Linked DNA regions of Cricetulus griseus. The protein of the gene in region 1 purifies or fractionates together with the protein of each later gene. This does not show direct contact. Links are inferred from orthologs where the notes say so. Each region holds a gene or a part of one and is shown on either strand. Other genes may lie near its edges.

Evidence for each region.
Region 2: the proteins of Kdr (region 1) and Cdh5 purify together in Homo sapiens (affinity purification with western blotting; 3 studies listed by BioGRID and IntAct, with this or other methods). This does not show direct contact. The link is inferred for Cricetulus griseus from reciprocal best matches to the Homo sapiens genes KDR and CDH5.

Annotation. Positions count from the first base shown.
Region 1 is NW_023276807.1:142,448,830-142,455,518, forward strand, and holds the start of Kdr (vascular endothelial growth factor receptor 2), read right to left. Parts: upstream 3,930-6,689; coding exon 3,863-3,929; intron 185-3,862; coding exon 91-184; intron 1-90. UniProt on the Homo sapiens protein: Tyrosine-protein kinase that acts as a cell-surface receptor for VEGFA, VEGFC and VEGFD. Plays an essential role in the regulation of angiogenesis, vascular development, vascular permeability, and embryonic hematopoiesis.
Region 2 is NC_048596.1:180,295,968-180,301,932, reverse strand, and holds part of Cdh5 (cadherin-5), read right to left. Parts: intron 4,468-5,965; coding exon 4,179-4,467; intron 3,427-4,178; coding exon 3,310-3,426; intron 1,907-3,309; coding exon 1,742-1,906; intron 673-1,741; coding exon 485-672; intron 1-484. UniProt on the Homo sapiens protein: Cadherins are calcium-dependent cell adhesion proteins. They preferentially interact with themselves in a homophilic manner in connecting cells; cadherins may thus contribute to the sorting of heterogeneous cell types.

The DNA.
Region 1 (6,689 bases):
ATTATAATTCTGCAGTAATGGAAATGTTGTGACCTCAGTAAACAATGAGTCCTTGCACACAGGAAATCTGAATCTAAAACGAACCCTTACCTGCAAGTAATCTGAAGGGTTGTATTGGCCAAAATTGTAAGTACATCTTTTTGTGTGCTGAGCTTGGGTGGATGGAGGGAATCATCTGGCAAACCTAGAAAGAAATTAGACAAGAGTCGGACCCCATAGGAAACACCTTCCATCAGCAATGCATACTCCAAGTTTTAAAAGACCTCTTCAGCAATTCATCGTACAAAAGTGGAATCTGCTTTGCCCCATTCCCAGTAAAAGTTCACAAGCTCTGTCATAACAGGAAGAATGGGCAGATGGTCACAAACCAACACAACAGTTCTGCAATTCACAGTGCTAGGGTGGAGTTCCTGTTTTCCTGCACTGCCAACTTCAAGGTCTTACAAAAGGATATGGGACATCGAAACCCGGTGAGCCACCATCTGATGATCTCAGGCCCTTGGGAAAGCATAGGATGTACACATCTGACTAAATTGCTGATTAATGAAAACTCCCTAGAGAGATCTCTATACAGCTCATCTCCATACCTCCCCCCAAAAAAGGGGCAGGAGCTACTGTGACCTTTGTCCCATTGTCTTTTATCAGGCAGTATAGCAGATTTCCTTTGGTAATCAAGCTGCGGTAGTGGCTCATAAAGACAGGGCGTTTAGATGAAGGAAAATGAATTGAGGAAGAGTAAAAATCTCTCAAGTTCATGCATACATGCATATTAATATACTTTTCCTCTGAGCAAAACTTAAAATAGTGTAACTCTAATGAGCTACAATGGGGGGTTCTCAACTGATTAATTAATCAAAGCTCTGAGCTCATCTAGACACAAAGCTCCAGACACAAGATACATGTTACCTAAAAAAACTAAAACACAGAAAGATATCATGAGATATACACGTCTCTAACAGGTCACACCACAGCAAGATAACTAGGTGTCAGTCATCTAAATGTAAAGTGTTACCAGGCATGTTAAAAGCATGAGAAAAAGAGGAGTTGCCCACCATGCTAAGGGACATCAAAATCTTCCAGCTCTCAGCTTGGAAAGTAACTGATCTGCCTAGCCTGGTGGTGCACACCAGGAAGCCCAGCACTCAAATGGACCAAACAAGAGGACTGTAAGTTTGAGTCTAGCCTGGGCCATATAGTGAGTGAGACTGTCTCAAAAGAAAAAGATAACTAATTAATACCAGGCAGCCACCCAGGCTTTCTAATTCACACCAACTCAGAACAGATGACTCGTAGGGTCTCAGCTGGCATTGACCTTGTTGGGCAAATAAGTGAACGTGAACAAATACGGGGCCGTGTGAAAGAAGAGAGTATGAGCAAACAGCCAGGGCAAATAGCCAGTGCTGTGACACCGTGGCCCCTATGTGAACAACTGGAAGCAGGTGGTTAACTGACAGCACAGGGTCTCACACACCTGCACAGATGTGCAGAACAATCTACAGCTACACCACCCCAAATACACCCAATCTAATCAGATGCACATATGTTGCTGATCTAACTATAGATATATTGATTGATGACATGTTTTCAATCATTGGAAATGAAATGACATTAATAACCCCCAGAAGCTAGTTGACATCATCAATGACTTGTATTTGGGCAGTGGTTCTGAACTTTATGTGGTGTTTGGATATTCCTAGATCTGCAAATATACACTTTAAGTGGCATTTAAAGTGACTGTGTCACGGGTGCTCTGTGGGGTAGTCATGGGTAGTCATGTTTAATCAATCAGTGTAATCACTTTTCAATATGAAAGAAGGCAAGCACATAAACACGTCTTCCAATGATGGAATGCTACTTGGTTTGAGAAGTGAAAAATACAATTTGTTTGATAAGTAGATTTTAAACATGACTCAGAAATATTAACCCCAAAACAATAACTGGATACGACTCATATGAGGAGCCAAATGAAAAAGAAGCCATCAGTTGGGCAAATGTGTAAGGGAAAATGTGGTAGTAAATAACCACCATTCAATAAGCTGTGTCCACTCTACCTCTGCAGCAAATGACTTTTATTCTTCAGTGCTGGGAAGCGAACCCAGACTCTCAGTGCTCTATCTCTGATCTACATGCCACAGCCACTGAAAGCCTCTTGACTGTCTCTGTAATAAAGTACAGCCAGAGATTATCTTAGACTGCTGGCACATTAGCTATATTCATCTTTAAGAGACATCCCATTCACAAGAAGCCATATACAACACCACGCTATTCTAGGGATCGCTCCACAATCAAATCTAGCCAATAAGGTTATCAATAATAACTGGAGAGTTACATCAATGACTAACACTCCCTCCACCCATTAAACCCCATTCATTTTCATTGGCAAGTTTGGGTCCTCTCCTTTAGAAAGCTAGTTCTGACTGTAAGAGGTACATATGCTACTACACAATAAAAGCCCTTTTATGTTCGAATCCCATAACCAACACTAATTAATTTGTGCACTGTTATCCTTCCTGCTCGAAGACAAGAAGGAAAAACAACAGCAGCTCTGTCTCTAGACTTCGATGGCACCAATTATAGTCCAATCCAATTAAGCAAGTCACACACTCCGAAAGGGCAACCTCCATTTTATTCAGGGAACCAGGCTACTGTTAAACTGCTGCTCTAGGAACACCCCAGGCTTCAAAGCAACTCACTTCTTTGTGGGACACAGGGCAAGCACATATTCCAGACTATCTTTCTCTTCCCAGAAGGGGGGAGAGTGGGCGTTTGTCAGGGACAAATGAGCACCCATGATGGAGCTGGCCTGATGAACCGAGTCATTATGAAGAAAACTCAATAACTGTAGACAGATGATCTTGGTACTGTATTTCAGTGCCAGTGTTTTTAAGGCACGCAGTTGTCTTCTGATGCAAGGAATATTTTTTACGGAATTGAATTTTTTCTGACTCTCCCTCCATTCTCCAACGGGTAGAGATTGGGAAACGAGCAAACTGGCTACAAAAAGGAAATGGAAGAGAACTGGGGGGGGGGGGGGAGAAGGAAGGGAAGGGAAGGGAAGGGAAGGGAAGGGAAGGGAAGGAAGGGAAGGGAAGGGAAGGGAAGGGAAGGGAAGGGAAGGGAAGGGAAGGGAAGGGAAGGGAAGGGAAGGGAAGGGAAGGACTAACCTTGAAGCAGAGGGCAATTTTAAGTGTCATGAAAAGTGGCTCTATAAAGTGCCAAACCCAAGAGATTTCTGAAACTCTGTTTCTGACTGAGTTTACCCCAGGACCAAACGTTTTGGGGTATTAGGTGGATAGTTACTTTAAGACACTCGGAGTAACTGTCACAGAAGGGGGGACTGCCTCTTCTTCCTGCGAGGAAAGTAGCATTCTGCACCAAAGAAAGTTGGAGGAGCAAAGTGTCGCCCTATGAAGAGATCTCACCTCACATAGACGGTGTGCGCAAGTGCTGGAGCTAAAGGGGAGCGGAGCAGAGGGCGGGTTCCCTGCTCCACTCGGTGGAGGCAGCGCGGAGTGCAGGATGCCACGCAGGGCGCCCGGCTTGCGCTTGCTTCCAGGCGTTTTATTGCCTGTTCTTGCCTGTGGGGCATCTCCTTCCCACTCCCGCCTCCCCAGAGCCCGAGGCTGTGTTGGGTCCGCACAACAGGCTCCAACTGAAGCCCGGGGGAGATTAGAGTTCTGGGGACCATCGACAGGCTGGGTCGTTTTGGACTAGTCTTTGAAGCTGTTTCCCCGAAGATAATGAAAGAACACCAAAGGGTAGGTTCCCTAGTTCTCTCCGAGTTAGGTCCTCTTCTCCTGTATCCCCTCTCTCCGCCCGCACCCTACTTCGTCGTTTTACTTTCAGAGAGTGGGCTCCTTACCCACAGAGGCGGCCTGGGTCTCCACGCAGAGCCACAGAGCGACAGCTAGCAGCGTCTTGCTCTCCATCCTGCACCTCGCTCTGGGCACAGAGCCCAGTTCTTAGGCACAGACTCTTTCTCGGTCCCTGGCCCGCAAAAAAGTCACAGAGGCGATACGCACCCTGCAGCGCAGGACCGGGAGAGCGCGGGGCAAGGGCACCCGGGCTCCGGCCGCAACTGCAGCGGAATCTGCGGACACCGGCAAGCCAGGTTATCCCGGCTGCGGGTCGCAATCTGAGCTTTCTATCGTGCCAGGTAACGCACCGTGCAATCTAAGGAAACACAGCCAACTGCTACTCTTTTGGGGTCCTGAGGATTCAGTGCAGACCGCGAGCGCAGGCTAAACTCTAGAGTATGGGGGCGGGGCCATTTCTGGGAGGGGCGGGGACTCCCGGCGTCCGGCCACGCCCCTCACTGGATTCCGGGTTTGGATTTCCCGGTTTCCCACGCCCACTCCCCCACTAGCCCGGCAAGTCGTAGCCGGGAGAAAAACTGAACGCAGTTCGGTTTCTGGTGGAAGTAAAATGTAGCCAGCAACGGGTTCTGAGAAACTTTTGTCCCCACAACCTGGGAAGCATCACCATAATCAAAAGGCCCATTAAGCCCTCATTAGGCGCCTCCAAGTACAGAACTCAAAACGCTGTTGCAGCTGAGCGTCCCAAGCGACCAAGAAACCCGCGGCAGGTTGGAGCATATGAACACTAGACCTGGATGTATTTGGGGCACCAACTTGCAGTGAGTTGGCCAGTACTTGGGAGTTTTGCTTTTAGTGCTTTGGCCAGCTGAGCTATAAATTTAAAATTCCCGACTAAATGCCTTAATTAGACGCTTATCCAGGTTGCCAATGCCCTTACAGTTTTCACCTCCATCTCCAGCAACTTCAATTCTGAAGTTACCTGCCTAGCTCTAGAAGACATTTCGGTTAGGGACTCCTGCCTGGTTCTGTCCAAAAAGCCTACAGCGAGAGATCCAGGGAGCTGGAGGTGACCAGGGCTCCCCGCACAGTGATGGGCACTGACCCTTCTATGACTGCTAGAGTAGTTTGGTCCACCCGGTTCCGTGACCACGGTCCCCTAGAGTGACTTTGGCCAGACCTTTTTCAGAGCTGATCTTTCAACCAAGAGACTTTTCAGCGAAAGGGAAAGGGGCATTTCTCTACCGGAGTGTCACTGCAGGAGCAAAGGGACAAATGGTCCCTGTGTGAACAGACTTCCTACATTCTCCGTCTATGTAGATTTCAAGTGGTGACCAAGGAGGAACTGTGGTTCCTTCATGACCACTTTCGTCCCTAGTTTTCTTTCCATTTCTTCCACACCTGGGAAATGACAACAAATATCCCTTACATCTTTTACCCCTGACAATAACCAAATGCTTTCGTAATGACAGGTTAAAGGACAGTCCTTTAGCAGGGTAAAAAGAAAAGATTATTGCTTCTATATCTAATCCAAACTACATTAGTGTAACATTGAGGTACATTAGTGCACAACTAAAGTAGCAAGATGCTTTCCTTTTTTAAAGAGGGGAGAAACAGCGTTGTCCCTTCTTCATGAATGTACTTTAGCTGGAAGAATGGTGCTAGAAGCACATGCCACGCTCCAGCGGTTTTTTGTTGTGGTTTGGTTTGGTTTGGTTTTTTGATTTTTCCCCAAGTTCACAGAAAAAAAGGTTTCAGCACATAGTGAATCTATGTGGTGAAATTATGCTAGAAAAACATGGAGATGCTCAGTGTGGCCCTCTTGCTTTGATGGAGGCATGCAAATTCTATGCACATTCAGGTCGGTTTGTATTGCATTTTCTTCTCATAAATGGAAACTCCATCTGAAGGCTGTTTGAAGCCTTCACTGTTTTCACTTTCCAGTGTACCTATGGAGAGCATTCTGAGGTTCTGGCTCATTCTTAATGGTCTTCTACTGCGTAAGCAGACTTTTACTGGAGAGGTATTTATTTGTGAACAATGTAGAAACATCTCTTTCTGGAGAGTAAAGCAAACGAACTAAAACAAACCTCAGAAAATGATCCAGGAGTGTCTGTGTCAGATTTGGGTAAAGGGAGCAAAGATGGATCCTGACTTGGACAAGATGGCTTTTCTCCATCATGGTCCCAAAACAAGGCTTCTCTGGAAGCCTTATTTACAATTCTGGACACTTCCTCTTCCATGTTTTACTTAGAAGATAGTGTCTCCTCTAATACAAACCAGAACAGCAGGCCCATGGTAATAACCCCCTTAGAAGTCTTAGAGGAAATGGTGCATCTTTGATGGCTGTGGGACCCAAATTTGACAAAATACAAGTGAAATCAGTTGACCATATTCCCTCCTACACACACTGAGAAATGTTTTGCATTTGTTAGAAGAAGGGAAAAGGGGGGCAGATCCTTTTTATAAAAAGGAAGAAGGAAAGAAAGAAAAGAAGAAAACAGAAGGAAAGATAGGGAAATGGTTGTTGGTGAAGTTGCTGAGGGAGCATGAAAACCTGAGTTTGAGCTCCCAGACTCATGTTTAAAAAGTCAGGTGTGGTGGTAGGCTTGTTATCCCAGTGCTGAGAAAGCAAAGATATGAAGAACCCTGAACCCCGCACCCCCACCCCAGTCCCCCAAGCCTAGATGAATCAACTAGTGACCCTCAGGCCAGTGAGAGACACTGTGAAAAATGATACTCCAAGTTCACTCCACTAACACAATACACATTATGAGTGGGCATGCAGGTACATGCTCGAGTGCACGCACATGTGCACACACATACACACGCACACTCACACACACATACACACTCTCACAAAGAGACACACAC
Region 2 (5,965 bases), on another chromosome or scaffold:
AAGCCAAATACACCCTTTTCCAAGGTTGTTTTTGGTCAAGGTTATTTTATAACAACAGAAATGATACTAGAACAAGTGCTCTCTGTCTGCACTGCAAGGTTTGTGGCTGCTTACCCCAGCACCTGACCTTCCTGCTGCAGCTCTGAGGTGTGCTCTATGTTGCTCCCATGGGACTGGGCCCCACTTGTAACCTGCTCATCATTGATCTCAAGAGGATCTATCTTCTTGCCACTAGTCATTGCTCCTGAGGCTTCCAGGGATTATTTCCCAAATAAACATTTCATTCCCAAAGCCTTGCCCCTGGCTTATTTCTGGAACTCAGCCTGAGACATTGGATTAGAGTCTCCGTGAGCATATGGCTGGCTCCAAGCTGTACAAGAATATTCTCCTTCAATGGACTGTGGCTCAGAAGCAATCCCTGAGTGTCCTTTGGATGCCAAACTCCACAGCCCATGATTGGATTCAGAACTACAAGTCTACATACCTTCGTGGGCTTGATGATACCTTCATTGCGGTTGGGGTCTGTCTCAATGGTGAAAGTGTCCCTGTACTCGCCCTGTATGATGCTGTACTTGGTCATTCGGTTCTGAGGTTCATCTGGGTCCTCAACTGACAGAAAGCCCAAGGGGCTGCCCACACGGATGTCTTCAGGCACCGAAAATGTGTATGTGGCTGATATGCATAGAGTACCACAAAGAGTTAATGAGATAGATAAGACAATTGTCCCTTCATATTATCACACACACACACACACACACACACACACACACACACACACACACACACACACACAGAGAGAGAGAGAGAGAGAGAGAGAGAGAGAGAGAGAGAGAGAGAGAGAGAGAGAGAAACTGAACCAACAGTCTTACCTAGACTAGGCAAACACTCTACCACTTAGCTACACCTCTACCCTTTGAACTTTTGAGATAGATACTTGCTCTGTAGCCCAGACTGGATTTGAACTTGTAATTTTCTTGTCTCTGTCTCTTGTTGTTGGGGCCACAGGTATATTCTGCCTTATCTGGGTATCATACAATATTTTGTTACAGGAAACAGGCAAGAAACTTATGACCATGGGATTCTGGGTCCCAAGGCAAGGGACCATCCTTCTGTCAATGCACCAAGTAGTTACTAAGCTCATTCTGTACTTTGGAACATCAACAGACAAGAAAGACAAATCTTGCCCTCGGGACATTTATGCCATATACAGCAATGCTACTTCAGAGCTAGACAATTTGGGGGCAACTGAGGCCAGAATGAAAGCAGAGCTAGAGGGTGCCAAGAATATCCCCACTCACTTTTCCTACCCAATGGCACCTGGGATACAAGAAAAGCTCTTAACAGGCTTAAGGGAAAATCAATTTGTGGGTAGGTTTATGCCAGGCTTTTGTTGTACCCCTATTTTTCTGGGATTTTATAGCTGGGCCCTCAGAGGCCAGGTTTGCCAAGCCTGTGGGATCTGGGTGACATCACCTCTACCTCACAGTGCTACTTGAAGCACTGCAGTGGCATCAGCAAAGGTGTGATTTTTGTCTGGTCTGAGAGGGGACCCATCAATGGAATTGGGTGACCTTGGGAGCAATGTATAAGGATGGTGTGAGGTCTCCATATTCTGGCTCCAGAAGCACTCCAGGATATGGGGAGATGTAAAGAGGTTTGGGGTACCTTTGTGAGACCCTCCAAATCGTTGAGTCTGGATTGTCCCAGCCTGTCTGCTTAAGGCTCAATGGGAGAGGCTTACACTGAGTAAAGATGGGAAAGTTGTCATTGATGTCTTCCAGTCTGATCATCACAGTCGCTGTGCCTGACTCTCCCCGAAGACCCTGGGCATCTCGTGCTTCCACCACAACCTTGTACTCAGCCTTCGTCTCTCTGTCTAAGTTTTTGTCCTTTGTTAAAATGAGTCCTGAAAAAAAAAGTGTCCCAAAAGGAATTGTGTTATCTGAGGAATCTTGAGAAAATCTGGGTGCTCAGACCTTCCCTAGAAAAGACATAGGTGACTCTACTATATATCTGAGATTGAGAACCTCAGGACTATAGCCCACTTCTTCCAGATCTTGCTCTGTATGGCTAAAAGCTGGCCAAAATGTGTGGTCCAATATTGTTCCTAGCCAGAGAGAGACTTATGTTGAGAAATACCATAAGGCCAGTTCCAGGCTCAGAGTGATGGATAAGTGGTGTCTGCCTTGGTTCAAATAGATATGGTTGGCTGTGCCATGTTTTATACTGAGCGTGTTGTACTTGATTAATGACGTCTGTCTTGACATATATAGAAGTGGCTACAATTTTTAGTGTTGAGAGCTGTGATGGATTAATGATGTCTATCTTGATGCACATAGAACTATCAGTTGCATTATGTATTTGCTCATCTCCTTGAAGACAGTATGCCTAGTTTGACTAACTGGCCTTCTTTCTTGCTTCCAGGACTCAACACTTAGTTTTTCAAATGTGTTAAACTGAACCAAATTTGGCCTGAGAAACCTTCTGTACTTTGCAGACTCGAATCCTTCTGTGATGAACTGCAACCTAGTAGTGTGTAAATAAACTAAACCCCTAACTTAGGAGTATGCTCAGCCAATCACAGCAGCTGTGCTCCAGTTAATCATAGGCTGCCACCTGTTCAAAGCTGTTCAAATAAGGCAGACACCCAGCTGTAACCAACTGAGCTCTTTCTAGACTGCAGGATTTTTTTTCTACACTATAAATACCACCCAACTATGTGGCAGCCATGGGGTTTCTCTGAAGTTGTTTGGCTTCTGGGGTGTCCCAATTTGTGAACTATTCTTTGCAAAATTAAATTTGATAAAATTTAATTGGTCTAAAGTTTTCCCTTTAGCAAGGCACAAAAAAATTATGTGGCATGGCTGTGTCTGTGCATAATCTAATTCAAATTTCATAGCGACTGAACAAAGGGCTATGAACATTCCTAGTTTCTGGACAAAGGAAATAAGGATTATAAGGCATTAGTTGACTTGCCCAAGGACTGTAAAACTGAGTAGCAGTGCAGGGTTTTAACTCAATGTCTCTGGACATGTACAAAGACCTTCCAACTAGCATTTTTGTTGAGTCCTGGTCTCTGAAAATAGGGTGAAAAGACCCCTATTTTCTTTCCGTGAATGCTTTGAGCACCTGTTTGCTTCCTCCCCTAACCTGCCCCAATATGTCTTTATGTATATTACGTATTCCTTCCCTGGAGCAATGGCTGGTGACACCTGTCAGGTTAGACTTCCCTCTGCATTGGCACCTGCAATATTCATGTCCCCAAATCCCCCAAAGAGGTACCCACCCAAAAGGGTTACTCATACAGACCAGAATTATCAATGTTGAAGTACTCATTTCCTTTTAGGATTTGGTACATGACAGTGGCGTGGCCATCCACCGTGGGGTCATCAGCATCCACTGCTGTCACACGGATGACGGAGGTCCCTGTGGAGAGAGAGAGAATTCTGGTGTATCTGCTCTTACTGGATTCCCTGGTGGGAGCAGATGGGGTTCTGCTGTTCTTACCACCAAGCTGAGGGAGAAAGTTTGCCTTGTGCCAGAGGGGCCATTGTGAGGGTGAAGTGCCAGCAATGGTAGGCCCAGCCAGATGAGTCATGAAGGTTGCAAAGAGAACAGGTGGTTTGTGGATTTGTGGGAGAAATGAAGAGAGGGAGATGTTTGGTTTGAGAGAGAAACGGGAGGGTTCTGGATGGCTTCACCTCTTTTGAAGATGAGAGAATGTGGGACAGGAAAGGGTATTGGGAAGCCTCCAGAGTGAGGGGGACCACACTTCTCAGTCTCTGGAGTTCTAGGATTCCCTCAAAAAGGTCCAACCTCCGGGCCCTGAACACAGAGCCTGGACACTCTTTTCCTGTGCCTCTGGAAGCAGGATGAGGACAGGCTAGCAATTCCTAAACCTATATTTAGTGTGATGACACACGCTGGGGTCAGGGTCAGGGCCCAGACTATAAGGATAGTCAGTGCTTAGCACATTATGAGAATCAGAACCCATCTGTGTTTAGGGACAGGGTTTAGTGTGGGACTAGGTCAGAGGTTAGCCTTTAGGGACAAATTTTGAAATCATGTCAAGAGGCAACACAACATTACACCTACTTCCTTGAACTTACTGAAGCCTGACCCTAGGCAGTGAGATGGCTGATGTGAGAGGTGAAAGAGAGGGCAGACTAGGCACATACCCATAGCTGACATCTCTGGCACAGATGCGTTGAATACCTGGCTTGTAAACACAGGCCAGTTGTCGTTTACATCATGAACCTTGACAGTGAAGCTGGAAGGTCGCTCCAGGTTTTTGTTGCTCTCCTTGTCCACAATGAGAGCAGTAAGGTAGTACTCAGGGACCTTTTCCCGGTCTAATCTCTCAAAGGCATACACATCTCCTGAGTCAGAATTGACCCGGAAGATGGTGCCAGCAAACTCTCCTTGGAGGACATACTTGGCATTCTTACGGTTCACGCTGGACTTGATCTGGGAAAGAACAGACAACATGAGCTAGGAACGGAAAGTATGGCTACTTGCATTTGTGAGTGTGTGCACACACAATTGTGCAAGTTTGTGTGTGTGCATGCATGTGGGGGTGTCTGTATGCATATATGCACTATGTGCATAGTATCATATGTGTAGTGATGTATAGGGATCAATCCTCATTGTGACACTGAGGCTTTAAACAAGAACTTTTGACTGGTCACCAGTGAATTCTTCTTCACCAGGTCACCGCAAGCAGTGATGAGCATTTCTTAGCTGTGTTCAATGCCTAGAATGGTGCCTGGATCCCAGTAAGCCACTTGCCAGTGAAGAATAAAAGGCATCATTATCCCTTATATTGTTACCATCTCATCTGTAAAATGGAGCTAATTGAATTTCTAAGGCTGATTTGCACTAATGAGTAGAGCAGTCCGCTTGGAAATGAGTGCCAGGAAACCTTGGCTTCTTTTGTTGCCCCATGCAAAAACAGGATACATGCCAGTGATACATTGGAGCTGGCTGATACCAACATGGATTTGAAAACTTGACTAGAATTGGGGAATATCTGTGATCTGACTGTTAAATGTAGCCATATTAAAAATTAAATCATCTGAACATATGATGAAATAAATCATTATTATAAATGGTTTGTCAACTTAGGATTTGGGTATTTGAAACCAACCTAGGAGACATGCCTCTGAATGTGACTGTTACGGTTTTCTAGAAAGCATTGACAGAGATGGGAAAGTCCACACTCAATATAGGCATCATCACCCTAGGGACTGGGGTACTGAATTGAGTAAAAAGGAGATAGTAAATGAAGCAGCTGCCTCCATCTGTCTGCTCCTGACTGTACAGGAGCACAGAGGGGTGACCCTTTACCTCCAGCCTCTCCTCCCTGCCCCTCCTCACTGCACCTTCAAACCCTGAGCCTGATTAAGCTCCCCCCTTCTAGAAGTTGCTTTTGCCAACTGTTCTGTCGCACCAACAGAAATGTAACTAATAGAAACATGCTAGAAGCAAAGATTACGGATACTCAGAATTCATGTTTCTAACTGTGTTACTGCATTTAACTGCATTCTTGAGGTTATTGTGTCTTCTGTATGAGCATAGTGGTAATACTAAATGGGGTATGGCCGTGTACATCTTGTACTAACTCTGCCTTCAGGCATGCATATCACCAGCTTGAAAGCTGAGTATTTATACTACAGAAATTGGCAAGTTCTACACATCAGCACTTTCCCCTCAAAGCCAGTTGTCAGACATTTATCAGTACAGCAAGCATTGGCCCCAGTAAATTTGCTTTTGGAATGATGCATGAAATATTCTCTTCTTGGCGATTTATGGTGTCTAATCTGCAGAACAGAACCATAGTGAGCTTTGTTTAACTCAGGGTGTCCTGTACCTCTTAGACCACTGAGCTCGTTTTCTTTATAACACATGCTATTAGTAGCTTAAGGGAAACCAATATATGCCAAGCACCTTGCACTGGACACTACTC